Macaca mulatta: one gene and its partners. The protein of the gene in region 2 binds, or shares a complex with, the protein of the main gene of each other region. Links are inferred from orthologs where the notes say so. Each region holds a gene or a part of one and is shown on either strand. Other genes may lie near its edges.

Evidence for each region.
Region 1: SNRNP40 (region 2) and PRPF8 share a complex: the UniProt entries of both Homo sapiens proteins name them as parts of the U4/U6-U5 tri-snRNP complex. The link is inferred for Macaca mulatta from reciprocal best matches to the Homo sapiens genes SNRNP40 and PRPF8.
Region 3: SNRNP40 (region 2) and CDC40 share a complex: the UniProt entries of both Homo sapiens proteins name them as parts of the postcatalytic spliceosome P complex. The link is inferred for Macaca mulatta from reciprocal best matches to the Homo sapiens genes SNRNP40 and CDC40.
Region 4: SNRNP40 (region 2) and ARMC7 share a complex: the UniProt entries of both Homo sapiens proteins name them as parts of the minor spliceosome. The link is inferred for Macaca mulatta from reciprocal best matches to the Homo sapiens genes SNRNP40 and ARMC7.
Region 5: SNRNP40 (region 2) and RNF113A share a complex: the UniProt entries of both Homo sapiens proteins name them as parts of the pre-catalytic and catalytic spliceosome complex. The link is inferred for Macaca mulatta from reciprocal best matches to the Homo sapiens genes SNRNP40 and RNF113A.
Region 6: SNRNP40 (region 2) and SART1 share a complex: the UniProt entries of both Homo sapiens proteins name them as parts of the U4/U6-U5 tri-snRNP complex. The link is inferred for Macaca mulatta from reciprocal best matches to the Homo sapiens genes SNRNP40 and SART1.
Region 7: SNRNP40 (region 2) and SNRPD2 share a complex: the UniProt entries of both Homo sapiens proteins name them as parts of the U4/U6-U5 tri-snRNP complex. The link is inferred for Macaca mulatta from reciprocal best matches to the Homo sapiens genes SNRNP40 and SNRPD2.

What each region holds. Positions count from the first base shown.
Region 1 is NC_133421.1:3,240,414-3,244,733, reverse strand, and holds the start of PRPF8 (pre-mRNA-processing-splicing factor 8), read left to right. Parts: upstream 1-1,443; 5' UTR 1,444-1,515; intron 1,516-1,714; 5' UTR 1,715-1,725; coding exon 1,726-1,825; intron 1,826-2,585; coding exon 2,586-2,754; intron 2,755-4,025; coding exon 4,026-4,190; intron 4,191-4,277; coding exon 4,278-4,320. UniProt on the Homo sapiens protein: Plays a role in pre-mRNA splicing as core component of precatalytic, catalytic and postcatalytic spliceosomal complexes, both of the predominant U2-type spliceosome and the minor U12-type spliceosome.
Region 2 is NC_133406.1:209,565,311-209,569,674, forward strand, and holds the start of SNRNP40 (U5 small nuclear ribonucleoprotein 40 kDa protein), read left to right. Parts: upstream 1-1,444; 5' UTR 1,445-1,456; coding exon 1,457-1,597; intron 1,598-4,364. Other genes in the region: ZCCHC17 (zinc finger CCHC domain-containing protein 17), read right to left, coding at 447-458, 1,007-1,126. UniProt on the Homo sapiens protein: Required for pre-mRNA splicing as component of the activated spliceosome. Component of the U5 small nuclear ribonucleoprotein (snRNP) complex and the U4/U6-U5 tri-snRNP complex, building blocks of the spliceosome.
Region 3 is NC_133409.1:15,228,424-15,232,722, forward strand, and holds the start of CDC40 (pre-mRNA-processing factor 17), read left to right. Parts: upstream 1-1,471; 5' UTR 1,472-1,489; coding exon 1,490-1,678; intron 1,679-4,299. UniProt on the Homo sapiens protein: Required for pre-mRNA splicing as component of the activated spliceosome. Plays an important role in embryonic brain development; this function does not require proline isomerization.
Region 4 is NC_133421.1:84,791,097-84,795,490, reverse strand, and holds the start of ARMC7 (armadillo repeat-containing protein 7), read right to left. Parts: upstream 2,860-4,394; 5' UTR 2,787-2,859; coding exon 2,696-2,786; intron 2,613-2,695; coding exon 2,469-2,612; coding exon of another isoform or gene 2,437-2,468; exon of another isoform or gene 2,065-2,436; intron 1,764-2,064; exon of another isoform or gene 1,730-1,763; intron 1-1,729. UniProt on the Homo sapiens protein: As a component of the minor spliceosome, involved in the splicing of U12-type introns in pre-mRNAs.
Region 5 is NC_133426.1:126,364,782-126,368,070, forward strand, and holds RNF113A (E3 ubiquitin-protein ligase RNF113A), read right to left. Parts: upstream 1,875-3,289; 5' UTR 1,660-1,874; coding exon 625-1,659; 3' UTR 518-624; downstream 1-517. UniProt on the Homo sapiens protein: Required for pre-mRNA splicing as component of the spliceosome. As a component of the minor spliceosome, involved in the splicing of U12-type introns in pre-mRNAs. E3 ubiquitin-protein ligase that catalyzes the transfer of ubiquitin onto target proteins.
Region 6 is NC_133419.1:8,455,677-8,460,017, forward strand, and holds the start of SART1 (U4/U6.U5 tri-snRNP-associated protein 1), read right to left. Parts: upstream 2,809-4,341; 5' UTR 2,762-2,808; coding exon 2,449-2,761; intron 723-2,448; coding exon 665-722; intron 256-664; coding exon 200-255; intron 1-199. UniProt on the Homo sapiens protein: Plays a role in mRNA splicing as a component of the U4/U6-U5 tri-snRNP, one of the building blocks of the spliceosome. May also bind to DNA.
Region 7 is NC_133424.1:58,226,546-58,230,780, reverse strand, and holds the start of SNRPD2 (small nuclear ribonucleoprotein Sm D2), read left to right. Parts: upstream 1-1,373; 5' UTR 1,374-1,477; coding exon 1,478-1,479; exon of another isoform or gene 1,480-2,212; intron 2,213-2,688; exon of another isoform or gene 2,689-2,784; intron 2,785-3,304; exon of another isoform or gene 3,305-3,621; intron 3,622-3,848; exon of another isoform or gene 3,849-3,962; intron 3,963-4,235. Other genes in the region: QPCTL (glutaminyl-peptide cyclotransferase-like protein), read right to left, coding at 457-663. UniProt on the Homo sapiens protein: Plays a role in pre-mRNA splicing as a core component of the spliceosomal U1, U2, U4 and U5 small nuclear ribonucleoproteins (snRNPs), the building blocks of the spliceosome.

The DNA of each region.
Region 1 (4,320 bases), on a different chromosome or scaffold from region 2:
GCTAGCAGTAGTGGCACCTGCCTGTAATCCAGCTACTCTGGAGGCTGAGGCAGGGAAATCGCTTGAGCCTGGGAGGTGGAGGTTGTGGTGAACTGAGATCGCACCATTGCACTCCAGTCTGGGCAACAGAGTGAGACCCTGTCTAAAAAAGAAAACAAAAGGAATTGTTTTAAAATTTTTACCGTTCTGAAAGCACATTGACATCCTTTGCATTTTTTTTTCTAATTATTTCACTTTGATTTGTAAATTCTCAACTAGATTGAGGGGCTGTATGGGTTACAATTCCTCTGCATCCTCCCCAATAAACTTGGTGGGAATTTCAGACTTTTTGTTTGTTTGTTTTTTCCGAGACGGAGTCTCGCTCTGTAACCCAGGCTGGAGTTCAGTGGCGCGATCTCGGCTCACTGCAACCTCCGCCTCCCGGGTTCAAGCGATTCTCCTGTCTCAGCCTCCCGAGTAGCTGGAACTACAGGTGCATGCCACCACGCCCAGCTAATTTTTGTACTTTTAGTAGAGACGCGGTTTCACCATGTTGGCCAGGCTGGCCTTGGACTCCTGGCCTTAAGCGATCCGCCCGCCTCAACCTCCCAAAAGGCTGCGATTCCAGGCGTGAGCTACCGCCCCCCCCCCCCCCCAATGAGCTTGATTCTTTCTGCTCCCCTGTGAACCCTACTGGTTGTCTTTTTTCCTGCTTTATCCCTCGTCCTCGGTAGACAGTGGGCACTCAATAAAGAATGGTTAAATGAATGAATGCGGCCGGGCGCGGTGGCTCAAGCCTGTAATCCCAGCACTTTGGGAGGCCGAGACGGGCGGATCACGAGGTCAGGAGATCGAGACCATCCTGGCTAACACGGTGAAACCCCGTCTCTACTAAAAAATACAAAAAACTAGCCGGGCGAGGCGGCGGGCGCCTGTAGTCCCAGCTACTTGGGAGGCTGAGGCAGGAGAATGGCGTGAACCCGGGAGGCGGAGCTTGCAGTGAGCTGAGATCCGGCCACTGCACTCCAGCCTGGGCGACAGAGTGAGACTCCGTCTCAAAAAAAAAAAAAAAAAAAAAAAAAAAAAAAAAAGAATGAATGCATGAACAAATGACCGTCCTGGAGCTAGTACTGCATTGCACGTATACATTGATGACAACAGACATCGTACAATGCGCAATCTTGGCAAATTTATTAAAAGCTTCCAGACTTCGGTCTCTCGCAGGGCGACGCCGGGAGCCTATCACACACTGAGGTCTGTCGGGGGCCTCAGGAACAGCCTCGGAAACGTGGGAGGCGGGGCTTCCCCGACCACACCCCCTTGTATTCAAAGCCTTTCCGCCTGTGGGCCCGCCTCCTCGGCGCAGTGTGCCACTCTAATTGGCCATCTTACCAATCCATCTGAGCACCTCGGCGCCGATTGGATCAACTGCTGAAGTCGGGTTGCGCACTTTCCGGCGCTGGGAACGCGGAGCGGACGCACACTGGCCGCCATTGCGCTCCGGAGAAAGCGGCCCCCTGTGTGAGGGGTTGTGGGGTGCGTGGCAGGCGTTTAAGGCCGGGCTGCGGGAGGCGTGGTCGGGTCGGGCTGAGTGACCGAAGGGGTTAGGCCGGGCGGGGCTGGATGCACTCAGTGTGGCGGGATTGCAGGCCCGGGTCCCCGGACGCCTTTCTGCTGCGCTTCTTGTGGGCCCGGGCCTGTGGTTAGTGAATTTTTCTGTCCCGCCGCTGTCCAGATTCTCCGGGTATGGCCGGAGTATTTCCTTACCGAGGGCCGGGTAACCCGGTGCCCGGCCCTCTAGCCCCGCTACCGGACTACATGTCGGAGGAGAAGCTGCAGGAGAAAGGTGAGTCGAGTGTGGAGCGGCGCGCGAGCCGGAGGCGGGGCGGGTGTTCGCGCGCGCAGGTGGCTGGGGACCCTCCCCGTTTGGGCAGCTCCCGAGGTGACAACTCCCTTGTTAGCCCCATTTAACTTTTTATCAAGTCATTTTAAGCGCGTGTTATCTGCAAGCGCTGATCCAGTAGTGATGGAGACAAAATTCCTGTCCTTACGGGGTTTAAATTACAGCGGGAGAGAAAGACAGTAACAAAACCTTGAGGATCTGTAATAAAAATGTCAGGCCGGGCGCAGTGGCTCACACCTGTGATCCCAGCACTTTGGGAGACCCAGGCGGGCGGATCACCTGAGGTCAGGAGTTCGAGACCAGCCTGGCCAACATTGTGAAACCCCATCTCTACTAAAAATACAAAAATTAGTCGTGTGTGGTGGCGCGTGTCTATAATCCCAGCTACTGGGGAGGCTGAGGCAGGAGAATGGCTTGAACCCGGGAGGCGGAGGTTGTAGTGAGCCGAGATCGCTCCATTGCCCTCCAACCTGGGTAACAGAGCAAAACAACGTCTCAAAAAAAAAAAAAAAAAAGTCAGATAGTAATAAATGTGATGAAGGGAAAAACATAGTAAAGTGGTAAGGGAATTGGCAAGGAGTGTTGCTTCCTGCTGGATGCCTGCTCCTCTGTCACACTCACTGACAGGAGCTTACCCTAGGGCAAGAGGTGAAGAGGATTAGGCTGAGGGTGTGCAGTCCTTTAAACTGAGGTGCCTTTGTAGCCCGAAAATGGCAGCAATTGCAGGCGAAGCGCTATGCAGAAAAGCGGAAGTTTGGGTTTGTGGATGCCCAGAAGGAAGACATGCCCCCGGAACATGTCAGGAAGATCATTCGAGACCATGGAGACATGACCAACAGAAAGTTCCGCCATGACAAAAGGGTTTACTTGGGGTAAGGAACATCCTGAAATAACTTCATTTGGAATTTGGTTCTTTTCCCTTTTCCCTGTCCCACAGTCTTGGATAGATGCTCTGTCATTTTGGAACAGGACGCTGCTTTGACAGCTCATCTTGGTGGATATAAGAGAAAGGAGAAAACCAGTAGGAGTCTCTGATAATTTCTACATCTTCCACTTACGCAGTCTGTTTCCCTTCTGTTCCTGATCTGGGCCTGGGACTTTAATTTGTCCTGTTGATGCTGTTATAAGATATCCCTGTCGTTGAGCTGTTTGAAGCCCAGAGTGGGAGACTGTGCATAGTGGCAGCCTGTCACTCCTCAGGGACCTGAATTCTGTGTTTAGGGTATTTAATTTCAGAGGTATCCCTACTGCTGTTTTTCTGTGGCTGTAAACTGGGTGGGTACAGGTACAGATGTCTTAGCAGATTCCTGCTCTATTTGGACACAAAAACGTTTGCCGTGTAATGAACTGGAAGTTTTGTTTATTTCAAAAAATAGTTTGAGAACTGTGCTGGCTGCTTGGGGTATAGTAGCGAGCAGAGGGTAACAATCTCCGCCTTTCTGCAGTGTGCAGTCTAGTGGCATGACAGACATGAGACAACTGGTGATAGTGAAGTATGGTGAATACTTTATTATGATTTATGAGAAGATACTGAGGGAATAGGATGTGAGACAGCCGCAAAGCTGTCTCCAGAGGGACAGCTGTTGATTTAGAGGAGCTGATACCAGCATTGTGGGACTATGACATTTAAGAAGAGTGCTGAGGCTGGGCGCGGTGGCTCAAGCCTGTAATCCCAGCACTTTGGGAGGCCGAGACGGGCGGATCACGAGGTCAGGAGATCAAGACCATCCTGGCTAACACGGTGAAACCCCGTCTCTACTAAAAAATACAAAAAAAAAAAACTAGCCGGGCGAGGTGGCAGGCGCCTGTAGTCCCAGCTACTCGGGAGGCTGAGGCAGGAGAATGGTGTAAACTCGGGCGGCGGAGCTTGCAGTGAGCTGAGATCCGGCCACTGCACTCCAGCTTGGGCGACAGAGCGAGACTCCGTCTCAAAAAAAAAAAAAAAAAAAGAAGAGTGCTGCAAGATGAAGTTGTAGAGGGAGAGGCAGGGTTTCTGGTTAGGAAGGGCCTATGGGCTAAGTCTGGGAGTTTGGATTGTAAGGTAGGATTTACTGTGGAACATGAACGTGTGGCTTCTCTGCATGGGACAGGTAGCAGAACACCTCGTCATTTCTAATAGCCTTCTCTTTTTCTAATGTGCCAGTGCCCTAAAGTACATGCCCCACGCAGTCCTCAAACTCCTGGAGAACATGCCTATGCCTTGGGAGCAGATTCGGGATGTGCCTGTGCTGTACCACATCACTGGAGCCATTTCCTTCGTCAATGAGATTCCCTGGGTTATTGAACCTGTCTACATCTCCCAGTGGGGGTGAGAAAGGCTGAAATATGGTGGGCAGTGGTGGTGGTGGTTGGGGGCAGTGGGTAGAAATGGTTGTGTGATGTTCTTGCCTTCTAGGTCAATGTGGATTATGATGCGCCGAGAAAAAAGAGATAGGAGG
Region 2 (4,364 bases):
CTCCTACATACCTCTAGAATCTGTCCAATTCTCTGCAGTTCCACCCACTTCTCAGTCCTCACTGACATCTCTGACCAGGATTACTGTATATCCTAAGTGGTCCACATGTATCGACTAGGGCTTCCCCAGCCCCAATCTGTTCACACCACTGAGCCTGAGAAATCAAGCCCCCTCCTCCACCACACCCCACCGGGGGAAGACGGCTCAGTGGTATCCCATCCGTTTTAAAATAAAGCTACAAATTCCTGCAAGGTCTGACCGCTATCACGTACAGCTTCATCTTGTACCATACTCCCCTTCATTCTCTTTGTATCAGTCACACTGGCTCTTTGTGCTTTTAGTCATTTTTCCTCCCAAGTGCCTCAGGGCTCTGAACAAGTAGTTCTCTACGGAAGGTTCTGCCTTTACCTCTTCACTTAATTAATTACAATTCTTCCTGCAGCTACCAGAGCAGGCATCTTTTCCTCTGAAAAACCTTCCTGCTTATTTCAGGCACTCAGCATCAAACAGCACTAGGAGGCATTTCCATGTATTAGTGAGGTCATTGTTTAACGTTTTCCCCACCAGACTTAAACGCCCTGAGAGTAGGGACCGTGTCTGGTTCACGACGTACCCCCAACGCGCTGCTAAATAAATATCAGCTGGACGACTGACGCAATGACCACGTTCATGGGCATGAGTCTCAAATTTCTCAACAAGACTGCGCTCTGGAGAAGGAGTCGGACATTTCCTTCATCATTGTCTCTCTCAGGGGGGCAGAGACTAGGCCCTAATCAAAAACTGCAAAATCAGTGGCAGAAACAAGTCAGCCTCCTCGGCCAAACGGGGCGCCGGAGGAAGTTGGGACACAGGCCTTTCTCCCTGGGAATGCCCGGCACAGGACTGGCCACGACGGGCGCTCTTGAAGAAGGGAGCCGCAGGGACTGGGTCTTGCCGCCAGAGACCCCCAAGGCTCCGCTCCCGCCCGGAAAGGGAGCCCATGCTACTACTTACCACAGCTGGGGACTCGGGGCCCCGCCTCCCACCCCTTGCTATCGGCACCCTCAGCTGAGAAGGGCAGCTTCAGACTGCACAACCGAGGCGTCGCCTTCAGACTCAGGCTGCCACCCACCCAGCTCTTCCTCATACGTACTAGGCGTCAGCTCCAGGCCCCCGAGTCCCGGCGCTGAACTAAACGCCGAGCCCAGTCAGCCAGCGCGTTTCCACCCACAAGACCCAGCGCGCCTAGGGAGGTCGCCAGCTCCGTCCACCAATCCTGGAATCGCACTCTCATGACGTCAGAAAGATATGCCCAATAACAAGAGACTATCCGAGGGCAGTGCAAATGGGTATATTGAAAACCGATTGGTTCTTCCAAGCTGGAAGTTGTGGAGGAAGGACTAAGCTGGAACCAATTGCGTGGCGCCTGAGGGGGGCAGCGCGGTCAGTGGCGGCGCTGAAGAGACCGGTTGCCGCCATGATAGAACAACAGAAGCGTAAGGGCCCAGAGTTGCCGCTGGTTCCAGTCAAGCGGCAGCGGCATGAGTTGCTACTGGGAGCGGGGTCGGGCCCGGGAGCCGGGCAGCAGCAGGCGACGCCGGGAGCTTTGCTGCAAGCGGTAAGTGAAGAAGCAGGCGGCCTTTGGCCCTCAGCTCATCTTCCTCCCCTCAGAGCGCTGTATCTGGTGACCCGGCACCGACCCTTCCCGCATTGCGGGGGGCAGAACGAGAGTTTCTACCTAGAGTTAAAGCACACCAACATTGTAAAAGCGCCTCATAGCCTGCGGATGCTCAGTACTTGTTCGCCCGTTTGGCGCTGGTTTTCAGCCTCTCGACTGCCTTGTGAGGTAGCGTTAGAATTAGCGTTGAGAACCTTGGGCTCACAACCCGGACCCGGGCTTAAGCATCCTGACTCTAACATGGATCTAGCGTAGAACAGAAATTCCGAAGACTTTGTAGAATGAATGAATGAGGGAGGGAGGAAAAGAGGGAAATGATTGGTGTTGGCTCGTTTTGGGACTTTGGGCAAGTTGCTTTTCCCTTTATTTCTCTGCACTAGTATTATTAACAACTGAATAGCAGCTAACATTCGTTGACTCTTGTACTAAGGTGTTTCGTATATGAAATTTCCATTGATCTTGGTAGCAGCCTGTTAGGAACGTTATTAACCCATTTTGCAGATGGAAAAGCAGACTTATCAAGCACGTGATAGAAACAGATGTTGAACTGAGAAACCATGCTCCTAACTATATTTTTTGTAAGATGGAAATAGTGATCACACTTCTAATGCCCTGTTTAGGCTCAGACGAGGAAATACGAGTGTCCTCTCATCTCCTCAATAAATCCTGCTGGCACCGTTCTCAAAATAGATCTAGAATTGCTACTTCTACCATTTCCATCACTGCCTCATGGCCTAAGCCGTTATTATCTCATCTGGCATTTTTGTAGTGGGACCCTAACTGGTCTTCCACTTTCTGCCTTTGTAGCAGCACCTGTTACCAAGCCAATAACCAAAGGAATCCTTCTAAACAACGGATCACATTACATTCTGCAGAAAACTTTCTGGTGGCTTTCTACTTCATCCAGAGTAAAAACCAAAATTCTTATAATTATTTGTCCTCTTTCCCTTTACCTCTCTGACCAATTTCTCATTGCTCACCCGGCTTCAGTTACACTCTCTTCCAAACCTCTGCCTCTGGACCTTTGCATTTGCTGTCCTCCCTATGGGATTGCTCTTCCCAAATGTTCACATGGTTTATTATTCAGCTCCTGCGAATATTTGCCCAAATATAATTTTTTCAGTGAGGGTTTTCCTGACCACCCTGTTTTAAATTGCAGTACCACATAATGTGGAACCCACATTGCTTCTCTCTCTCTCTCTCTCTCTCTCTCTCTCTCTCTCTCTCTCTCTTTTTTCTTTTGAGATAGAATCTCTCTGTGTTGACCACTGGCTCGCTGCATCCTCCGCCACCAGGGATCAAGTAATCCTTCTGCCTCAGCCTCCTGAATAGCTGGGACCACAGACACAGACCACCACACCTAATTGTATTGTATTTTTTTGTAGAGACAGGATTTCACTCCTGAGCTCAAGCAATCTGCACACCTTGGCCTCCCAAAGTGCTGAGATTACAGGCATGAGCCACCTTGCCCATCCCTTCTTTTTTTCTATAGCACATGACACCAAGTATATATTTTGCTTGTTTTCTCTCACCTTCTCTCCTCCCTTCCCCCTTTCCCACTGGAACAGCAAGCTCCATTGTTTATTTTGTTCATAGCTGTTTGCCCAGTGCCTAGCACATAACTTTTTATTTTTAAGATGGGATTTTGCTTTTGTCACCCAGGCTGGAGTGGAATGGCGCGATCTCAGCGCACTACAACCTCCGCCTCCCGGGTTCAAGCGATTCTCCTGCCTCAGCCTCCCGAGTGGCTGGAATTACAGGCGCCCACCACCACGCCTGGCTAGTTTTTGTGTTTTTTTAAGTACAGATGGGGTTTCACCATGTTGGTCAGGCTGGTCTCAAACTCTTAACCTCAAGTGATCTGCCCACCTCAGCCTCCCCAAGTGCTGGGATTACAGGTGTGAGCCACCGTGCCCAGCCTGCACATAACATTTTTTAAAACTAAATGAATGTGGCGGGGCTTGGTGGCGGGCACCTGTAATCCCAGCCACTCAGGAGGCTGATGCAGGAGAATCGCCTGAACCCAGGAGGCGGAGTTTGCAATGAGATGAGATCATGCCATTGTACTCCAGCCTGGGCAACAGAGCAAGACTCCTTCCCAATAAATAAATAAGTAAGAATGTGCTGGAAAGTGCTGAAGAGATTTGGGGATTATGGGTAGTATACTTCTCCCATTTGACAAGTGAGCATATCAGCCCATGTTTAGATGAATTGCCCAAGTGTCATCTTAGTGTCCAAGACCATAATCAAAACTACTTCACCCGTGCTGAGGATCCCTTCGCTATGAAAAAAATAAGAAAGAAAAATAGGCCATGCGCAGTGGCTCATGCCTGTAATCTCAGCACTCTGGGAGGCCAAGGCAGGCAGATCACTTGAGGCTGGGAGTTTGAGACCAGCCTGGCCAACATGGTGAAACCCCATCTCTACTAAAAATGCAAAAACTAGCTGGGCATGGTTGTGCATGCCTGTAATCTTGGCTGCTCGGGAGGCTGAGGCACCAGATCCCTTGAACCCAGAAAGCAGAGGTTGCAGTGAGCCGAGATCACGCCACTGCATGCCAACCTGGGTGACAGAGCAAGACTGTGTCTCAAAACACACACACAAAAAATAAAACAAAACTATTTCACCCAGTACTCCGTACCATGCAGGGTTGTTGGGAAAGTCAGTTCTGTCATTCATTAAATGAGCCAGGCCAAATGTGGTGGCT
Region 3 (4,299 bases), on a different chromosome or scaffold from region 2:
TTTTACCGTTATGTCTTTAGACACCGACTCGCGGAGCAAACACGCAAACGCACGAGCCGGCTTTACTAAGCTCCAGGCACGTAGAGCGAGCAGAGGTTTCTCTGTCGCCCGGGGCTACCGCCTCCCCCGGAAAGAGGCACGGGGCGGACCGTGGGCGCGGGTGGGCAGGGAAGCCCGGGCGGTGGCACCTCAGGTGAGACCCGCAGTCTCTCCGGCGAAAGCAGCCCCGGGGCGGTCCCTGCAGCCGAACCCCGGGCGCGCCCGCCGCCGTCTCCCTCTGCACCCAGCCCGGCTGGCGGGTGGGCGGTGGGCGCTCGGGAAACCCGCGGATGGGGGTGGGGGCCGGGGCGGGGGAGGCGCGCCCATCCATCCCCGTCACCTATGCGGGCCACACACCCCTCGGTCTGCTCCGGCCGGTGAGGAAGAGTTCCTCTCCCAGCACCCCCTCCCCGAAAAAAGCAATTCCTCAGGGACTCGCGCTCACCGTGAAATCTTGGGGGCTCTCGCTTACCCCTTCTTCATGCTTCGGCAGCGGTCGCCGGTCCCCCTCGGCTCGCGGGACTCCACCTAGGGCTCCCAGGAGGGTCGGGCTCTGGGGCGGAACCCGCTCAGGACAGCGGCCGAGGCGCCAGGCCACTGGGAACGCCGCCTGGGGCGCCCACCGGCCGCCGGACCCACCGTGTGCTCGACGCGCGAGTGAACAACACCGCGAGCTGCCGCTCCCCCCGCCCCCTCCCCGCGCGAGACGCTCCACAACCGGACGCAGGGACCCGCGCCAGAAGCAGGGGGGACCGCGGGACTCTCTCCGGCTATGGTCCCATCCTTGCCCCGTGCCCCAGGAGCTATTCCCGGCCAGTCAGAGGTCTCAAAACTTCAGATTCTCACTTTCCTCTTCACCCTCGAGTGCCCAGGTGCAGTCGAGGTGGGAAACCCAGCCTCGGCCCACTCCTCCATCGGTGGGGCCGAAGCTCGCTCTTCCCCCCTTTCCTGAGGTTCTGTGGTATTGCCCAATCCTCAGTTTGGGGGAGGGGGACGGAGAGAACAGTGCTTGGCTAGGGAATGAGGGAAGATGACAGCCAATTGAATGGAACATCCATTCGGGGGCGGGGTCAAGGAGGGACCCGCCCCCGTCCCGCCCCCTCGTTCCAAACTACACTTCCCATTGTGCCCTCTGGTGCTTCCTGCCGCGCTGCACGCTGGGAGTGCAGGACCGCGAGGCCTCAAGGTATTTTGGAACTCGTATTCTTTAGTCAACTAGGTCCTGAAAGTTATAAGCTATTATAATTCTCTCTTTTTCCCTAGATAAACTTTTTTAAGCTCTCATTTCGACAGTAGTTATTCTAATAATAATTAGCTTGTTGTTTTAAAATGTAAGAAATTATTTCTTAGCAAAGAAAGTTAATGATGTGTTCCATGGCAATCTGTCAGGACCTGGGAGCCTCCTCTTCTTCCGCCCTGACAGGGTCCCCGCAGAAGATTTGTTGCCGTCATGTCGGCTGCGATTGCAGCTCTGGCCGCTTCCTACGGTTCGGGTTCAGGGTCCGAATCGGACTCGGACAGTGAGAGCAGTCGATGTCCGCTGCCAGCCGCCGACTCCCTCATGCACTTGACTAAATCGCCTTCAGCCAAGCCGTCTCTAGCAGTGGCAGTGGACTCGGCTCCGGAGGTGGCAGTTAAGGTAAGCACCTTTGCTACTGATGCGGTGTGGGAATTGTTGGCTTCAGCTCCAAAACTGCCAGCCGCTTGTTAGGTCCCGGCTTACCTCATTGCTCAGAGATAAGTTGCTAACGTTTGAATTTCTTCTCCTTCCCACATGCATCCTCGGGAGAAGCAGAATTGGAAGTTCGGAATAGCCCCCCGATGCTCTCTGCCCTTACCTCCCGCCATCAGAAAGCAAGTGGAAAGAGGGGGTGAAATTTGAATTTGTGAATTAGGGACATAGCCTGTAAAGTGCAGATGTAATCTCGGAACATAAATAAAATTAGATCAGGACTTCCCAAACTAGAGTATTGTACCTTCACTTGAAGTGAGCAGTGGCCTCGATTTGTTTTATTTTTGAAAAACTAGGTTCTAATCCTGGCACCACCACTTATGTGAACTTGGGCAAGTTATGCAGCCTCCTCTCTTTCCTCACCTGTACAAGCGGAGATCATTTTCAAAACACCTGTCTACATGAGAAGATGAGTGTGAAAATTGAGTGAAATTACACAAATAAAGCATATAGCACAGAGCCTGGTAACTAGTGAGAGTGCAGTAAATGTTTTATGATTATGTATGTTAATACAGTGAGAAAAAGGCCTTGGATTTGAGAAACAGCTGCATGATCTCAATGGAGGAAGCTGATTCAGGCAAGAGTTTCCAGGCAAAGGTGACAGGCAAGCCTGAGAAGGCAAAGAGCTTAGTGTGTTTGAAGAACTGAGGAAAAGCTGATGTGTCTAGAGCCTGATGAGAGCATCTACCAATTGATAGTGTAGGCCCAGTAGAGCCCGAGGTAGGTGATCAGCTCAAGATGTGAAGATGGGAGGCGGTGTCCAAAAATTCCTTTGTATCATGTCCCCAAGTCTAGTTTAATGACTTAAGGAGTGTTTTACAGATTTTTAACAAGCTGTCTGTGAATTTTACTTTTTAAAAATGGGCATCTGGCATGAAAGAATGCTTAGAATCCTAACTTCCTATCAAAACAAAACTTTCCAAACTTACGCCCCTCCAGTAACCTCCTGAGTCTTCTCCTTTCACAGCTCAGCTTTTTGGAGCTCTCTTTTTGTCTTCATCTCATTTTCTCCTCAACCCGATGCAGTCTGGCCCTACCCTCTTGGGAAACTGTCTGTGAGTGATGTCCCAGGCCTTGCAGTTGTCAGGTTCAGCCATCTGACTTAAATGTCTGCATCAAATGACACTGTTCATTAGTTCCTCTTTCTTGAAACTTTCTCTCCGTTTCGCTTCCATGGGGCTCTACTCAGCATTCTGTTCCAATTATTTTACTCTTTTCAATACTGGTGTTTCCTAGGACTCTGCTCTTGGTCCTCTTTGCATTCCACATATTCTTCCATACCTTCAACCTCAGTCTGTGCTGCCCCTAGCTCAAGGTGAACACCGTGAAATGGTTAGCACAGGCTCTGGAATTAAGACTGTAATTCAAATCCTGCCTCCAGCACTTACCCACCTGGGGACCTTGGATAAGCTGCTTAAATGCTCAGCACCTAATTTTTACTGATCTGTAAAGTAGGAATAACAGTAGTACCGATCTAACAGAATTATAAGAATTGCCATAAAAGATGTAAAGCCCTTTTAACAGTGCCACATGTTTGCTATCCTTTTATTTCCAGTTCTATCCTCCTTGCTAGCTTACAACCTTGAGAGGTATATAAAAATCTCCCACTGTAATTGTACATTTGTTTCTTGCAGGTTGGCACTCAGCCACCTCCAGTTCAGTGTGTTGAAAAATTATTTTCTTTCCCTCAAAATCCATTTCTGTTTTCCCCATTTTGATCTATGATCCCACGATCCACCCACTAGTTCAAGCCAAGAACAAAGGAGGTATCCTTTTCTCTTCCTTCTTCCTCAGCCCCTGAAGCTAGTCATTCAATTGATTCTAACATTTCTGTTTCATTAATTTATCTCATATCAACTCCTTCCTCACTATTTTCACTGGTGCAGGCTTCATATCTTCCTTATTTCTCCCAGGAGTTATTCTTTTCTTTCTCTTTCAGCCTCTTCTTTTGGATAGTGGGTCCTGTCTACTTTAACTCAATGATATTCATCAAATCTCTCTCTTCTGCTGCCACTGCTTAGTTCAGATTCTCATCATTTCTCTTCAGACAGTTGTAGCTTTCTAACTGATATTTCTACTTCTTCCTTTCTTGTCTCCCAGTGTTATACCCCATTCTTTTCTCCACAGGGCACCTAGAATGATCTTTGTAAATTCCACTTGCGTCCTATCACTTCCCTGCCCAAAGACACCGTATTGTCCAGTGGGTAATTTCTAAGTTTTTTTGGTAGCATGTGAGGGCTGCTATTCTCCCATGCTGAACTCTTTACAAAGCCCTGAAAGCCAAATTTTCTTTCTTCCTCTGAAGATTTTGCCCACGCTAGTCTTTCTGCCTGGAAATCCCTTGCCTAGTGCCTCCTTCCCCCATTCCAAACACTATGGTCCTTCAGTCTCACTGCGCGTTTCCTCCTATTCTACCTTAGCCCCTTTATCATATCTTAACTATAGCACTTAGCACATTGCCGTGACTTGTTCATCTTTTTCTTTGCCCTGGACTGTGAGACCCTGGGGTCCAGAGACGTATCCGTTCG
Region 4 (4,394 bases), on a different chromosome or scaffold from region 2:
AGAATGGCGTGAACCCGGGAGGCGGAGCTTGCAGTGAGCCGAGATCGCGCCACTGCACTCCAGCCTGGGCGACAGAGCGAACTCCGTCTCAAAAAATAAATAAATAAATAAATAAATAAAATAAAATAAAATAAAATGTGTTACTTGATCCTATCAAGACTTTCAACCCAATTTCTAGATTATAGGAAATAAAGGGGATAAAGAAACAAACCACAAAGAGGCAATGAGACAAACCGGAAGGGGGAACATTTGCATTCCTGGTTGGGGCCTTCAAGAATCAGTGTTATGAAATGAGGGTCTGTTTAGGGTTACAAGCGATTTATCTCTTGGGGCCAGGAGTTCAAGACCAGTCTGGGCAAGACGGTGAGACCGTGTGTCGACAACAAATTAAAAAAAAAAAAAAAAAAAGCCGAGTTCGAGACCAGTCTGGGCAACACAGTGAGATCCTCTCGAAAACAAATTAAAAACAAAAAAAAGCCGGGCATGGTGGTGTCCACCTGTAGTCACAGCTACTCGGGAGGCTAAGGCAGGAAGACTGCTAGAGCCCAGAAGTTTAAATTTATGGTGAACTATGATCACACCACTGTACTCCAGCCTAAGTGACACAGTGAGACCCTATCTCAAAAAAAAGAAAAAGATTTAAGATAATTTATGTAGTGACTTCCTTCCAATGGGTATAATACATAATACGTAAAGAGGGGAAAGAAAGAGTAATTTTACAGTGGAGAAGCCTGACAAGACTTCAGCCAGGTGATCACGCGCGTGTTGCCCAGGCTGGAGTGCGGTGGCTATTTACAGGTGCAATCATGCAATCGTAGCACACTACAGCCTCAAACTCCTGGGCTCAAGCGATCCTCCTATCTGGGGCTACAGATGAGCACTGTGCATGGCTTGAAAAAGGGATTTTTGTTTGTTCTCAAAATTTTGTCTGCTTCAAACTATTTCCCACGGCCTAGATCTAAGCTCCGGCAAGCTCTGGTGCTGCTTAACTCTCTATCCTCTTTTTGTGCCATTCTCCACTTCACTATAACGATCCTGCCACATTCATCTTCCTTCTGGCTCCTTCCTGTTTTAAGGCCTTTGCCCATGCTGTGTCCCTGCTAAAATGCCTTTCTCATGATGGCCAAAACAGAAGTAACCACCACCTTCTACTGCTGTTTCTCATCACCCCATTTATTTGCTGCTGAGCATCATCTTTTTTGTTTGCTAACCACCTGTCCCCCCTACTAGAATGTAAGCTCCTGAGGGGCAAACACTTCCCCTAACTTGTTCACCATACTCCAGCATTTAGAGCAGTAGTTTACATATACGGTACATGCCCAGTAAATATCTGCCCAGTGAATAAATCAATAGGTCTTAAGATCATAACTACAAAAGAAGCCGTAAGTTACAGACTGCAAGCCATCTCTGCTTCTCCTGATATGAAAACACTAAATATGAGTTACTTTTGTTTCTAAGACAGATTCTCGTTCTGTCACCCAGGCTGGAGTACAGTGGCCCAATCCCAGCTCACTGCAGCCTCGTCCTCCAGGCTCAAGCAATCCTCCCACCTCAGCCTCCTGAGTAGCTGGGACACCACGCCAGACTAATTTTTTTTTTTTTTTTTTTTTTTTTAGCAGAGATGGGCTTTTGCCAGGCCGGTCTTGAACTCCGGGACTCAAGTGATCTGCCTGCTTCGGCCGCCCAAAGTGCTGACATTACAGGTGTGAGCCACCTCACCCACCTGAAATTGTTGTTGTTTTTTTTTTTGAGACGGAGTCTCGCTGTTGCCCAGGCTGGGGTGCAGTGGCGCCATCTCGGCTCACAGCAACCTCTGCCTACCGGGTTCAAGTGATTCTCCTGCCTCAGCCTCCCGAGTAGCTGGGATTACAGGCGCCCGCCACGCCCGGCTAATTTTTGTATTTTTAGTTAGAGACGGGGTTTCATCATGTTGGCCAGACTGGTCTCGAACTCCTGATCTCAGGTGATCCGCCTGCCTCGGGCTCCCAAAGTGCTGGGATTACAGGCGTGTGCCACCGCGCCTGGCTACAAAACTGCTCTTTTTAAAACATCTTTTTTTGAGACATGGTCTCACTCCGTCGCCCAGGCTGGAGTGCAGTGGCGCAGTCTCAGCTCACTTTGGCCTCTGCCTCCCGGACTCAAGCAATCCTCCTGCTTCGGCCTCCAGAGTAGCTGGGCCTACAGGTGCACACCACTGTGTGCGGCTAATTTTTGCTCCCGCTTAGCTGGGATTACAGGCACTCGCCACCATGCCCAGCTAATTTTTGTACTTTTAGTAGAGACGAGGTTTTGCCATGTTGGCCAGGCTGGTCTCGAACTCCTGACCTCAGGTGATCCCCCCGCCTCGGCTTCCCAAAGTGCTGGGATTACATGTGTGAGCCACCACGCCAGGCCCCAAGGACTCACTTGTAACTCACTTACCTCACCCCGGCCCATTTAGCCATCTAGCGAACGGGCCCAGCCCTTACCAATAGCAAACTCCACCAGGGTCTCGTTCTCCTCCGACAGCGAATCGAGAAATAAATCCAGGACCTGCAGCTGCCGCAGATACTCGTAGTTGCTGGGGTCATAAGCGAAGTTGGCGAGGTTGGCGAGGACTTGCTCCTTGGCGTCTGCAACGGGAAAGCGGCACTGGAGCCAGGTCCGGGCGGCGGTCACAGCCGACCCTGTCACCTGGTCCCACCGTGGCTCTCACCTTGGCTCTGGGTCTCCTGGAATTCCGTGACCAGCGCCTGCAGGTATCCCAAACGCCCGACGTGGGGGTCCAACTTCGGCTTCTGGGCCATGGCCGGCGTGACGGAGGACCCCCAGGGACGGGCGGGCGGGTGGGAAAGGTGCAGGGGGAAAGCCGAGCGAGACCCTCACCCACTCTCCACCTGTCTGGCGAGGGAAGACGCGGGGACGGCAAACGGGTTTCTTTCTTGGGTTCAGACTCTGCAGTAATTTGCAGCTGGAAATGGAATGTGGGGAGATGGGCCGGGGTCTCAGAATCCTGTAGGAGTTGGGTCTGAAAATCGAAATTGGGGCGCGGGAGACAGGGAACCGTCTGCGGGCTGGGGCTGGCGGAGTGGGTACTGGCGCCCAGCCCCCGGCTGCCGGGCTCGGTTCCAGGCTCCCGGCGGAAGCCGCGCTGTCCCCACCCTACAAGGCGCGGAAGGGGCGGGACGAGGCAGGCGAAGGGCGGGGCCGTCGCCGAACTCCTTGGCGCGCGTGCGCGGCGCGCTTTCGGTTTTCTGGCTGCGGAAGCTCTTTAGCCTGCGCTGGAACCCGCTGCGACACGCTTCGCCGAGGGAGGTATGGGCGTGGGTGGGTGTACTGCGAGGAGCAGCCTTGTCTCCCATATCCTATGTCCAGCTGCAAATTATTGCAAAATCTGAACGCAAGAAAGAAACCCACTTGCCGCCCCCGCCAACAGGAAGGCGGGTGAGGGCCTCTCTCGGCTTTCCCGCCCCACCTTTCCCACTCTCCCGCCCGGCCCCCCGGGTCCTCCGCCGCCCCGACGTGGCCCAGAAGCCGAAAGTGAGGCACCCATGTCGGGCGGCTGGAATGACGTGAGGAGCAACTCAGGAGCGCAACGGAGTCTGGCAGCACCCATGTTGGGAGGACGTCGAGGCAGAAGCACCTCCAGGATCCCCATGGCTGGCGGGGCGCCCCTTTAGAGCGCGGGCGTCAGCTCCTTACCCACCCCCATCAGTCTTTTGACCCTTTTGCAAAAAGCGTAGCGACCCCGACCCGTCCTCTATCCCAGCCCCGAGGTGAGTCCGCCACCTCTGGACAGAAATCAAAGGGGACGGGGTCATGTCCTGGTGCTTTTTGTCAGCCGGGTGGATGGCGCGCGCCCGGGGCAGCACCGGGGAGCCGGAGGAAGAGCCTTGTTTGTGGCGCTTTCGGGGCTTTCTGGATGCTGAAGCCCTTCGGCCGATTCCTTCTCGAGGATTCTCGGGAAGCAGGTGTGTGATGGATTACTACTCGTGGTTACAGGGAACAAAGCACCAGGGAAGGAGGTGGCCTTACTACACTCCCATCGCGTTTGACAACGTAGGGGTAGAGAGGTGGCTTAGGCTGTGAGTGTCCTGAGAATGCAAAAGTTGTTAATCTAATTGGAGTCACTTGTGTTAAAAAAACAGAACAAAAAAACCCGGACAGAGTCGGAGAAAACCATGACAAGAGGGTTCTCATGCATAAATATCTGATAATGAAAACTATCACAAAGATTCTGCAAAAACCCCAACCTTGCACAAAACATACTTTTGAATGGCCATCTGCCCAGCAACTTTCCTGTCCAACGTTGAACTGGTCACCCTTGTTACTAATTCTTCTACCTAAGGATAATTATCTCAAAACAATTATGTAATCCTATTTTTTCCCTTAAAGCCTTTCTTTCTTTACCTCCC
Region 5 (3,289 bases), on a different chromosome or scaffold from region 2:
ACGCGGGAGGCTGAGGCAGGGGAATCGCTTGAACCCGGGAGGCGGAGGTTGCAGTGAGCTGAGATAGCGCCATTGCACTCCAGCCTGGACAACAGAGCGAGACTCCGTCTCAAAAATAAATAAATAAATAAATAAATAAATAAATAACCCAGACAGCAAGGAACATTTCCCATATGTGAAGCCTGTGGTACTAGCTACCAATTCCCCAAACGCAACCCCTCTCCCCAACACCTTGGCTCCGGTATATTTTGTAGTACAGGCTCCCAAGAGAAAGAATGCATGAAAGTACTTTGTAAACCATTAAGTGATACAGAAATGTGATATGATAAACAGGCTCAGAGTTCTTACTTTCGTCATAGCTTTGGCTACTTCAAGCAAATTATAGCTCTTTTCTCAAACTACTCCCACCCCTATAATTGATGCCAAAATGTTCTGAAAAGAAACACAGGCAAAATGGTTATCCTAGGGCTAAAAATCCTGATTATACCTACCTTGAGGTTTTTAATCCAGGACCCTACTTCACCACCCGCCTTCTCTGTCACTGTCTCTACAAAGGAAGGACACGAATTAAGACTTCCAAAAGAACAAAATATTTATTTTTTAAATTTAAGAATTATCAGACAGCTAAGTAACGGGAATTGGATCCTCATCGGGGTCTTCTGGCAAGTCGGAAGCACCACCACCCTCTCCTGTAGCTCGATGCTTCTCTAGTTTAGCAATCAATTCTTTCGCTGGATTGAAGACGCCATTGGTCTGCTGGTCACAGACATAGCAGCGCGGGGTGGTGCGGAAATGCTGCAGTGCACAGCTCTCGCAGAAATAATGCCTGCACTTGGTGACAACTGGGTTTTGGAAGCTCTGGCGACAGATGAAACACTTGAATGGTATTTCCTCATCATCGCTTCCCACTTCATAGTTTTCATCCTCATAGACACCATAGCGACCCTCATCAAGCTCACGTTCGATCTGCCACCCATGCTTGTAATCTGAACGGTCATGGAGGAATTTGCAGCTGTCTCCGAAGCCGCAGAAGCCAGTCTCTTTGTAGTCCTTACAGATGTCGGGCTGGTAATCCCAGCGCACCGTGGCACGTAGATGCTCGGGCGCTCGGATGGGGCCCTTCCTCACCATCCCGGAAGAGGCATTGCCCATAGACGTATCCTTGGGCTTCATGTATTTCTGATAATTGTTGATTCCCCGATAGATCTTGTCATCCTCCTTGCCCCTCAGCTCCTCCTGGATCTTCTGGCTGCGCTCAAAGATGGCTTGTGCATCGCGCTCTTTCTCTGTGTCCAGCTCATAGACAGCTGTCGCCCCCATATCCTCTGGTCCCACGGGTTTCGCCGAGCGGGTGGATTTATAAACCACGCCGAGACTCTCGGGCTCATTTTCCTCCTCCTCCTCGCTGCTCAAGTCGCCGTAAGCTGCCTTCTGTTTACCACTGTCACGAGTCTTCTGTATCATTGGATTGTGAGTCGCCCGCTTCTTTTCCGGTCGAACCACAGTGCAGCCTTCGTCGCTACTGCTGCCGCTGTCTCCGGGCTCTGGGTCGCAGGCCGGGCGCTTTCTGCGTCCAGCAGCCCCTTTCCGCCCAGGCTTTTTGAAAAGGAAGGTGCACACCTGATCCGCCGTCTTCCCTGGAGAAAACTGCTCTGCCATTTTAGAGTCCCGAGCTCCGAAACGGCCGTCGCTGCCTGGGTTGCACTTGGCCTCTGCGCGTTACTCCACGTCGCGCGCTCCGCCGGGAGTCGAAGCAAAAGACACTGACGGAAGAGAACTGCGAGAGCGCGAGCGCCAGCCTCTCTTGAGCCCTGGCAGATCCCGTCGCTTCCTCCGGAGCCGTACGTGGCACCGCCCCGCTCGCGGGCGGCCGCGGGGCTTACTGGGAAGGGAGCCGAAGCCCGGTCACCTTTCAAGGACCCAGAAGTAGGGTTTTGGCCTAGATAACGGGGCAGAGATGTGGTTCGAGATTCTCCCCGGACTCGCCGCCATGGGCGTGTGCTTGTTTATTCCAGGACTGGCTACTGCGTACATCCAGAGGTTCACTAACGGGGGCAAGGTAAGGCGGCTTCCTGGGCCCGGGGGCTGACTCCACTGGCTGATTTCTGAAAAGGATGGTGGGCAGAGAGTCCGTCAGCCTGCGGACCCTCTCTCCGAGGCCGGCCCTCTATTTTCTTCCGGTTGCCTAGAAGCCGAGGCTTGCGAAACGAAGCGCGGTAGAAACCACATCCTGCTCTGGTGAAAAACAGCGTTTCTGGGTGTATCAAAGTGGGCCTTAGGGCAGAGTAGCGACGCGGGGGCCGGAAAGGTAGATTAGAAGAGGTGGCTCAAGCCTGAGAATCCCTCACTGCAACCTCCGCCTTCCGGGTTCAAGAGATTCTCCTGGCTGGGCGCGGTGGCTCACGCCTGTAATCCCAGCACTTTGGGAGACCGAGGCGGGCGGATCACCTGAGGTCGGGAGTTCGATACCAGCCTGACCAACATGGGGAAACCCCATCTCTACTAAAAATACAAAATTAGTGGAGCGTGGTGGCGCATGCCTGTGATCCCAGCTACTCGGGAGGCTGAGGCAGGAGAATCGCTTGAACCCAGGAGGCGGAGGTTGCAGTGAGCCGAGATCGCGACACTGCACTCCAGCCTGGGCAACAAGGGCGAAACTCCGTCTCAAAAAAAAAAAAAAAAAAAAAAAAAGATTTTCCTGCCTCACCCTCCTGAGTAGCCGGGACCACGCCCGGCTATTTATTTATTTATTTTGGTAGAGACGGGGTTTCATCATGTTGGCGAGGCTGGTCCCGAACTTCTGACCTCAGGTGATCCACCCGCCTTGACCTCCCAAAGTGCTGGGATTACAGGCGTGAGCCGCCGCTCCCGGCCACCCTTGACTTTTTTATTCCCCACTTTCTCTTGCAAGCGTTTAGGAATTTACTGCAAGGTCTTGTGTTTTACATCAGGATTCATTTTCCCCTCTTAGCCCTTCACATCATCTCTAGAGTACAGAGTATAAATTTATTTACTTTTTGAATTTGTGATTGTCCACGTGTGATCTACAGCTGTTGTTTCTTAGTGTCCCAAAAGGCAACAACTAGATATTTCTTTTTTTTTTCTTTTTTTTAAAAAGGAAAAGAAATTCATGTTGGTTAAAATAGTGTAAGAAGTCACGGTCACCAACTTAATCCTAAAGTGTAGTGGTCTGATTTTATTTAGGAGATTCTGTTCTTGTACTACTAATTTGCATTTTTATTTGAATGATGATTCCATTTCTCTAGAATGTCCCTTCTAAAAATTGTAA
Region 6 (4,341 bases), on a different chromosome or scaffold from region 2:
AAGGCCACGGCTCTAACTCAGAAAACAAGCAGAGCCCCAGGTCCACATTAGAACAGCAAGAAGGGACCTCGTGCCTTCCGGCAAATATGCATGTGTAAGACCACTAAACCGTGCTGAACCTGCCCTCTAATCCCACCTTCTTCAAAGACCCCTTCAGATGGCCCTCTCCCCCAAACCCCATCCTCAGCCCCATGCTCACCCTTCTTGATGGCATTGACCTCCAAGGGTTTCAGCCCCAACTTTGCCCGGAGTTTACTGAGAACAAGAGATACAAGTGTTAGGGGCTATCAAAGGATACAAGTGTTACGGGCTATCAAAGACACAGGGTGCCATGTGCATTTCCAAACAGACAGGAGAAGAAACAGGGTGGGAGTGAGCGGTCCCAAACACACGGTCTGCCCCAGGAAGCCTAGGACACTGGGAAGGGCCCTGGCCTCCAAAGCAGGAAACATGGGCGCCAGCCTGGTCTGCATCTAACCGGTGAATGCCACTTTACTCTTAGGTATTAGTTTCCTCTTCTATAACTCTACTGTTGGCTAAAATGATCTATACAACCTTTCCAACTCCAATTAGCACACTTTCATGTGAGAAAGCCTCCCCAGGGCTGGCCCCAGAGCCACCTATCTTAGAAAAACAAAGTGGAAACAAGGGAGACAGTACTCACTTGGTCTCCTCAATGCTGAGTGAGGAGGCATCGCCTGAGCTAGTTTTGGAGCTGGCAGCTGGAAGAAGAAGAAGCATGGCTCAGGAGCTGAACATAGGGCCAACAAGCCAGCATCAGTGCCTCCAACTGCAGGATCAAAGATGAGGGCCCCTCACCAGCACCTGGGCCTGATGAAACACCAGAAAACAGCAGCTTCTTCCACCCAAGCTCCCCAGCAGCTCCTCTGCCCGAGTCCAGTCTCAGAGCCCTGCCTCTTCTGCGCACCTTCCTATCCTGACCCAAGAGATCCAAACTGCTACAGTCACCATTCTGCCCTCTCCTTTTTTCTTTCATTTTTTTTTTTTAAGAGACAAGGTCTCTTAAAGAGATGGAGCAAGACTTTGTCTCAAAAAAAAAAAAAAAACACCTCTTCCTTTCCTGCATTCCCATCCTGTATCTTAAAGGCTCCACTCTCCACCTGGGCCCTGGATCCCAATCTCTCCAGGCTCCCCAAAGTCACCAGTCTCCTTCATTTCTAATCTAACGGGTTCTTTTCAGTTCTGGTTTTCCTTGATCTCCTGTGGTATATGGGACTGCTGATCACTCCCTCCTTCTAACAATACTCTATTTCCAAAGTTCCCATGACACAAAGGTTTTCCTGCCTCTTTGGTTACTCTATCTCCTTTTTTTGGTAACATCTTTCTCTGCCTACTACTAACATAAGGGCATTTCTCAGGTTCTATTCCTGACCCCGGCTTCTCATGTCGCATTCTTTCGCGGGCTTCACTGGCCACCCAGATACTGACTCCCAATGGCTTTATCCAGTCCAAACTCTGGATTTCCCTATGCACATAAACCTTGACAACCCCAAAAGTGAATTATCTTCCCCCACCCTGCTCCAAATCTCCTTCTCTTCCCTACTCCTCAATTTCAGTAGAAATGACACCCACTACCTATCTGGCTGCTCAAGCCAAAATTCAAGGAGTCATCCTCAATTCCTTCTCCTTCCCACCCTCATACAAGTACTGAGTTCTGTTCATTCCTCCTCTAAAACACCTCTCCAACCTGTCCACTTCTCTCCACTCCACTGCTGCTGCCTTGGTGCAGGCCACCATCAGCCCTCACCTGGTCTGTAGCCCTCCTGATTTCCTGGTCTCCAATCCTGACTACCTTTGACTAAGTTCTCAATCCAGTAATGTTTACAAAATACGGATCTGAGCAACTCACTCCTCAACTCACAGCCAAGGCTCCCTACTACCTTGTCAAGACAATCTACATTTCTTAACAGAGCCTACAGTACAGGATCCTTTGCGTTCACATCCCTGCCTATCTTACTCCTTCATTTCTCTACCAGGAGCCCTACACGATTCGTCCAATACGATTCGTCAAATACCAGGTTTTTCTTGTCTCTGCATATGCTGACACTACTTCATTCATTCATTCAACACATTTATTGAGAATCTGTGACTGTACCAGACAACTGAGAAAAACGGAAGCTCTCTATCCTCAAGGAGCCAGGTGGAGACAGTCTACCTCTAATCCCAAACAATCGTAGAAAAGCTTTTTTGAGACAGAGTCTCGCTTTGTTGCCCAGGCTGCAGTGCACTGGCGGGATCGCAGCACACTGCAGCCTCTAACTCCTGGGCTCATGGGATCCCGTAGAAAGACTATTTAATAAGAGTTGATATAGACAGTCTGGGGGTTTCCCGATCCGGAGAGCTTTGCTGACACTGTGCGCACACCCAGACCCGCACGTTCTGGGACCCCTGCCCGACCCGCCCCCTGCGCAGGCCCCGCCTCCTCACCGGCCTCATAGCCGTCATCGCGTTTCTCCCGCTTCACACGCCGCTCCGAGGGCTCTGCCTGGCTGCGCTCCCGCCCGTGCGTGCTGCTCCGGGCCTCAGCTTCGGCCCCGCGCCGCCCGCTCCCGCGCTCGCCCCCACGTTCCCGGCTCCGCTTCCGTCGTTCGCCACCGCTACCGCCACTGCCGCCACTCCGGTGCTTGTGTTTTTTGTGTTCCCGGTGCCGCGGCGGCTGCTCGGTGGCGCCCCCGGTGCCGGCCGCCGCCGTCGTCCCGGTCGCCTCCTTCTCTCCGCGGTGCTTCTTGGACGACCCCATAGTGGCACGTCCACTCCAAGCCCGGCTACCGCCGAGCCCAGACAACGCAAAATGGGAATACTTCCGGGTCGCTCGGCAGCCGCTGTCGTGTTGCCGGAAACTAAGAGCGGCTGCTTCCGTCGCTCGCCCTGGAGCCGGCCCCAGAGGCTCATGGGAAGACCGGGATCACTGCTCCACTGCACATTCGCGCCGTCGCGGGTCGGGTGGGTTCTTTGAGCCAGTGGTCCCGTTGTGCATTCGCTACTCAAGGGAAGCGGAATTAACCCGGAGATGGGATCCCAGAACTGGAAGGACTTAGAGGGCATTAAGCCAGTGTCTTCGTGGCTGGAAGTTCCTCCCCGGCATCCCTGCGCTTGCACTTCACCGACAACGGGGTGTTCACTACCTCACGGCCTTTCCGTAGACACCTCCCTCCTACAATGGGCGCTCGCTTAGTGGACTCCTAGGGTCGTGGCTTCAACGGGTGTTGTTTTCCCGTTATCTCAAATTCCATAGCCCAGTTTCCGACCCGCTATAACTAGTATCGTTAGGGAACGCTTCCTTCCCACGTTCCCTGGTTTTTTTGTTTTGTTTTTTTCCCTTGAGATAGGATCTCACTCTGTTGCTCAGGCTGGAGTGCAGTGGCGCGATCACGGCGCACTGCAGCCTCGACCTCCCGCGCTCAAGTGATCCTACCCCCTCAGCCTTCCCACTAGCTGGGACTACTACGAATGAACGCTACCACGCCCCTTTAATTTTTGTATTTTTTTGTAGATGGGCGGGGGGTGTCTCGAACTCCTGAAGCCAGGCTATCCACCCGCCTTGGCCTCCCGAAATGCTGAGATTACAGGCATGCGCCCCTGCGCCCAGCCCTGGATTGGATTTTTTAAACCCGCGCCCCGTGAACTGTTAAGACTGAAGGAGCGCCACATGAGCGTCAGTGTATCCTTGGAACCCCTGAAATTGAATGCAAAATGTGGCACATCTGTGTGTATGAGTTTTTTTCTTGAGGAGAGGAGCCCTAAAAAAAACTACTGGGACTTAAAACCCCAGTGCAGGCCGGGCGCGGTGGCTCACGCCTGTAATCCTAGCACTTTGGGAGGCCGAGGCAGGCGAATCACAAGGTCAAGAGATCGAGACCATCCTGGCCAATATGGTAAAACCCCGTCTCTACTAAAAATACAAAAATTAGCTGGGTGTGGTGGCGCGCGCCTGTAGTCCCAGGTACTCAGGAGGCTGAGGCAGGAGAATGGTGTGAACCCGGGAGGCGGAGCTTGCAGTGAGCCGAGATCACGCCACTGCACTCCAGCCTGGGCAGCAGAGCGAGACTCCGTCTCAAAAAAAAAAAAAAAAAAAAAAAAAAAGCCCAGTGCGCACAATCCCAATCGGTCCTGAAACCCCTCCCCTCACCCAAGGGTTGCTCAGTCTGTGGCTCCCTGCCTTGCACAACTCAACATGTGTTAGGATGTGAGCGTGTGTTGGGATATGAGTATGTGTTAGGATATAAGCGTGTGTTGGGATGTGAGCGTGGGTTGGGATATGTATGCACCCGTTTAAGGGCCCACGCCCTCTCCCACTCACTGGGCATCCTCAGAGGCAGG
Region 7 (4,235 bases), on a different chromosome or scaffold from region 2:
ACCATTTCATCCCTACCCCGGGCGCCGTCACCCACAAGCAGCCCCGGGTCCTCTTTCTAATTTGCGGCCTCCAGCATCGGAGACTTCTAGGATAAATCCAAGGCTCAGAAAAAGTCCTTCCAAGACCATCCGGTCCAGCCTACCTCAAACTTGATGGGGAAATCGAGGCCCAGTGAGAGAGAGGGGAGATGGAGGAAGGGACTCTTCCAAATAGTTGACTAAAGGCGTAGAACCCTGAACCCCCTCGTCTTACTATTTCAGACCTTTCCTCATAAAAGGAAGCTACTGTTGTAAAACCAGCCCGAAGCCTTATTCCTTTGGTAAGGGTCATGCGCTCAGATGACGAAGACTGTGGCATCTGCGGTTAGGGCCGTACGCTAAAGCCAAGTCAACCCTGGGTAACAGCGGGGAGGGAATGAGGGTCCCCGCGGTGCCCGGGTCCCCGCCCAGCCTCACCCGCAGCTCCCGGCCCAGCGGCAGCTCCTCAGTCCTGCGGTGCCAGCCGCTCCAAATGGTGTAGAACGCCGAGCCCACGGCCAGCGCCAGCAACAGGGGCAAGAGCCGAACCCGCGGTAGCAGGCGGCGCTTCGGGGGCAAGAGTGGCTCCATAACGCCACGTTCCCCTAGCCGCAGGCGGGGCCGCCCGCGGCCCCCGGAACGCATGGCAGCTATGCCCTGAAACCTGTACCAGACCACGATTGAGTTTAGGCCCAGCCAAGTTCCACCCCATGGAATCAGTGGGCCAATAAGCAACAGCAGCGGCTGCACCTGCCCACCCCACAGCGAGCAGCGAAACCAATAAGAGCTACGGTCCTGAGGACACGCCTCCCGGCCTCCCTTGGGTATTGGGGTTGGTTCTTCTGAGAATGGCACGACCCAAAAGGGAGCGCAAAAGAGATAGGCTCCGCCTTAGCGGAGGGGGAAAGCCAATGAGCAGCGTTTGATCGTGGAAAATATTCAATCTCTCGGGCGCAGGTCCATGCCCCTCCCGGATGTAGGCAGGGGATTGGTGGCGCAGGGTCGGAAAGATCAGTAGATACGTCAATAACCCGTCCCAGAGGGAAGAGGGGCGGTGCCTGTCTCCGAAGCGAGGAGCGGATTGGCTTCAGCGGAGGCCGCGCCCCCGAAGTCACGGCCGGCGGGCATTTGGAAATAGTTTGTCATTTCCCTCCTTCAACCTGTACCATTCTTCAACGAAACGGTTTGAATCAGACCGCCTTTCCTTTTGTCTTCATTGTCATAAACATCTGCCCCGTGTGGTTCTGACTGGCCTCGAACCCCTATTCGAGGCTTTTATTCTTTCATTGTGCACCGTTGGTGGGCAATGCTATGGCAACAGGCCACGCCTCCACTTACTGGTTGGCTTTGCGCAGGCGCCAACGGAAGTGGGTCGCAGGAAGAGGAAGTCCCGCCTCTCTCGCCTCAGGCTGCAGCAACGCGGAGGAAACGGGAGTGAACGGAGAGCTTAGTGACCATCATGTGAGGCCGGGCTAGGCTTAGGCGGCGGGAAGGAGGTTGAGGGTGGAAATTTTGACCTATTGAGGGTGGGAAGGGTTGAGCAGAGAGCGGGGTGGGGGACAGGGGCAGATGTTTTAGGGATGGAGCGTCCTGCTTTTCTCCTGATGAGTTTGAGAACGGGCGTGGGGCCTTTGACGCATCGTGACTTCGGGAGAGGGGACAGCTTTATCAGATAACGCGCTGGGCTGGGCGCGGGGACTCATGCCTGTGATCCCAGCATTTTAGTAGGCCAAGGCGGGAGCATCGCTAGAACACAGGAGTTTCGAGACTACTCTAGGCAACATAGCGAGACCCCCGTCTCTACAAAAAAAAATTTTTTTTAATTATGAAAAACATATTTTAAACGATAACGGAGGGGGGTCCTAGATAATTAGTCCTATTGAAGTGAATGTTAAGGGGCAGCGATTTTACGAATACTGGGGGAGGCCGGGCGCGGTGGCTCAGGTTTGTAAATCCCGGCACTTTGGGAGGCCGAGGCGGGCAGATCACCTGAGGTCAGGAGTTTGAGACCAGCCTGGCCATTGTGGTGAAACCCCGTGTCTACCAAAAATACAAAAATTAGCCAGAAGTAGTGTCGGGCCCCTGTAATTCCAGCTACTTGGGAGGCTGAGGCCGGAGAATCGCTTGAACCCGGGAGACGGAGGTTGCAGTGAGCCGAGATTGCACCACTGCACACTTCCAGCCTGAGCGAAGAGTAAGACTCCATCTCAAAACGAAACAAAAGAAATCAAAACGAATACTGGGGAAGGGAAGTTAGGACTTTTAGAAATAATGATTTGAAATAAGGGACTTCTCCTGATCATTTGAGCTGGAGACAGATGCGTTTTCGACCTAATTCACAACTTAAAGGGATAACGAGTGATTGGCATGATTTTGCTCATTTATTAGTGCACCAAATATTACATTGAATGTTTATGTATCAGACACTGCTTAAGCCACATAGGATACATCAGTGAATGAAACCTTTTGTTCCCAAGGAAAAAAAAAATCTTTTTTTTTTTTTCCCGAGACATAGCCTTGCTCTGTTGCTCAGGCTGGAGTGCAATGGTGCGATCTCAGCTCACTGCAACCTCTGCCTCCCGAGTTGAAGCAATTCTCCTGCCTCAGCCTCCCGAGTTGCTAGGATTACAGGCACCCACCACCATGCCCAGCTGACTTTTATATTTTTAGTAGAGACCAGGTTTCGCCATGTTGGCCAACCTGGTCTCAAACTCCTGACCTCGAATGATCCACCTGCCTCGACCTTCCAAAGTGCTGGCATTACAGGCGTGAGCCACCGTGCCTGGCCGGGCGTGAGCCACCATGCCTGGCCGGGGTTTTACTTTCTACACTGAGATGGCGGGGGGGCATGGGAGGATTTTCTTTTGTTTGTTTGAGATGGAATCTCGCTCTGTCACCCAGATTGGAGTGTAGTAGCACGATCTCTGTCTCCTGGGTTCAAGTGATCTTCTTGCCTCAGCCTCCCAAGTAGCTAGGATTACAAGCATGCGCCACCATGCCCAGCGACTTTTTTTTTGGGGGTGGGGGATGGAGTCTTACTCTGTAACCCAAGCTGGAGTGCAGTGGTGTAATCTTGGCTCACTGCAACCTTCGCTGCTGGGGCTACAGCGATTCTCCTGCGTCATCCTCCTAAGTAGCTGGGACTAGAGGCATGCGCCACCACACCTCGTTAATTTTTTTGTATTTTTAGTAGAGACAGGGTTTCACCATGTTGCCCTGGGTGGTCTGGAACTCCTGAGCTCAGGCGATCCACCCCCCTTGGCCTCCCAAAGTGCTGGGATTACAGGCGTGAGCCATCACATGCAGCCTAATTTTTGTATTTTCTAATTTGTATTTATTTATTTTTTGAGACAGAGTCTCGCTCTGTTGCCCAGGCTGGAGTGCAGTGGCATGATCTCGCTTCACTGCAATCTCCGACTCCTGAGCTCAAGCGATTCTTCTGCCAGAACCTACCAAGTAGCTGAGATTACAGGCGTGCACCACCACGCCTGGCTAATTTTTTGTTGTTGTTTTTGTTTTGTTTGTATTTTTAGTAGAGATGGGTTTTCACCGTGTTGGCCAGGCTGGTCTCGAACTCCTGACGTCAAGTGATCCACCCGCCTTGTGAATCATCACCAGCTGGATGCCTAACAGACATTTTCTTTTTTTTTCTTTTCTTTTTTTTTTTTTTTTTTTTTGAGACGGAGTCTTGCTCTGTTGCCAGGGTGGAGTGCAGTGGCGCGATCTCAGCTCACCGCAACCTCTGCACCACAAAAGTGCTAGGATTACAGGCATGAGCTACCGTACCCAGCCCCTGGGAGGGCTTTGAAGAGTGACATGTTATGATTTAGGTTTTAGCACAGCCCCTCAGACCACTCTGTGGAGAACAGACTGTCAGGGAACATGGGTGGAGGCAGAGAGACCGGAAAGATTCCAGGTCAGAGATGACAGAGGCTGAGGCCATGGTAAGAAATGGCCACTTCCTACAGATTTATTGTAGGATGCAAGGGAAAAAGAGGAATCAAGTTGACAAAGAGTTTTTGCCCAGAGAACTAGAAGGCAGATGGGGAACACTGTGGATAGGGTAGGCTTCGGTGGTTGGGTGATCTGGATCCCGACCTGAGACATGCAGAGTTGAAAATGTCTGGCTGAGCGCGGTGGCTCACACCTGTAATCTCAGCACTTCGGGAGGTCGAGGCGGGTGGATCACGAGGTCAGGAAATCAAGACCATCCTGGC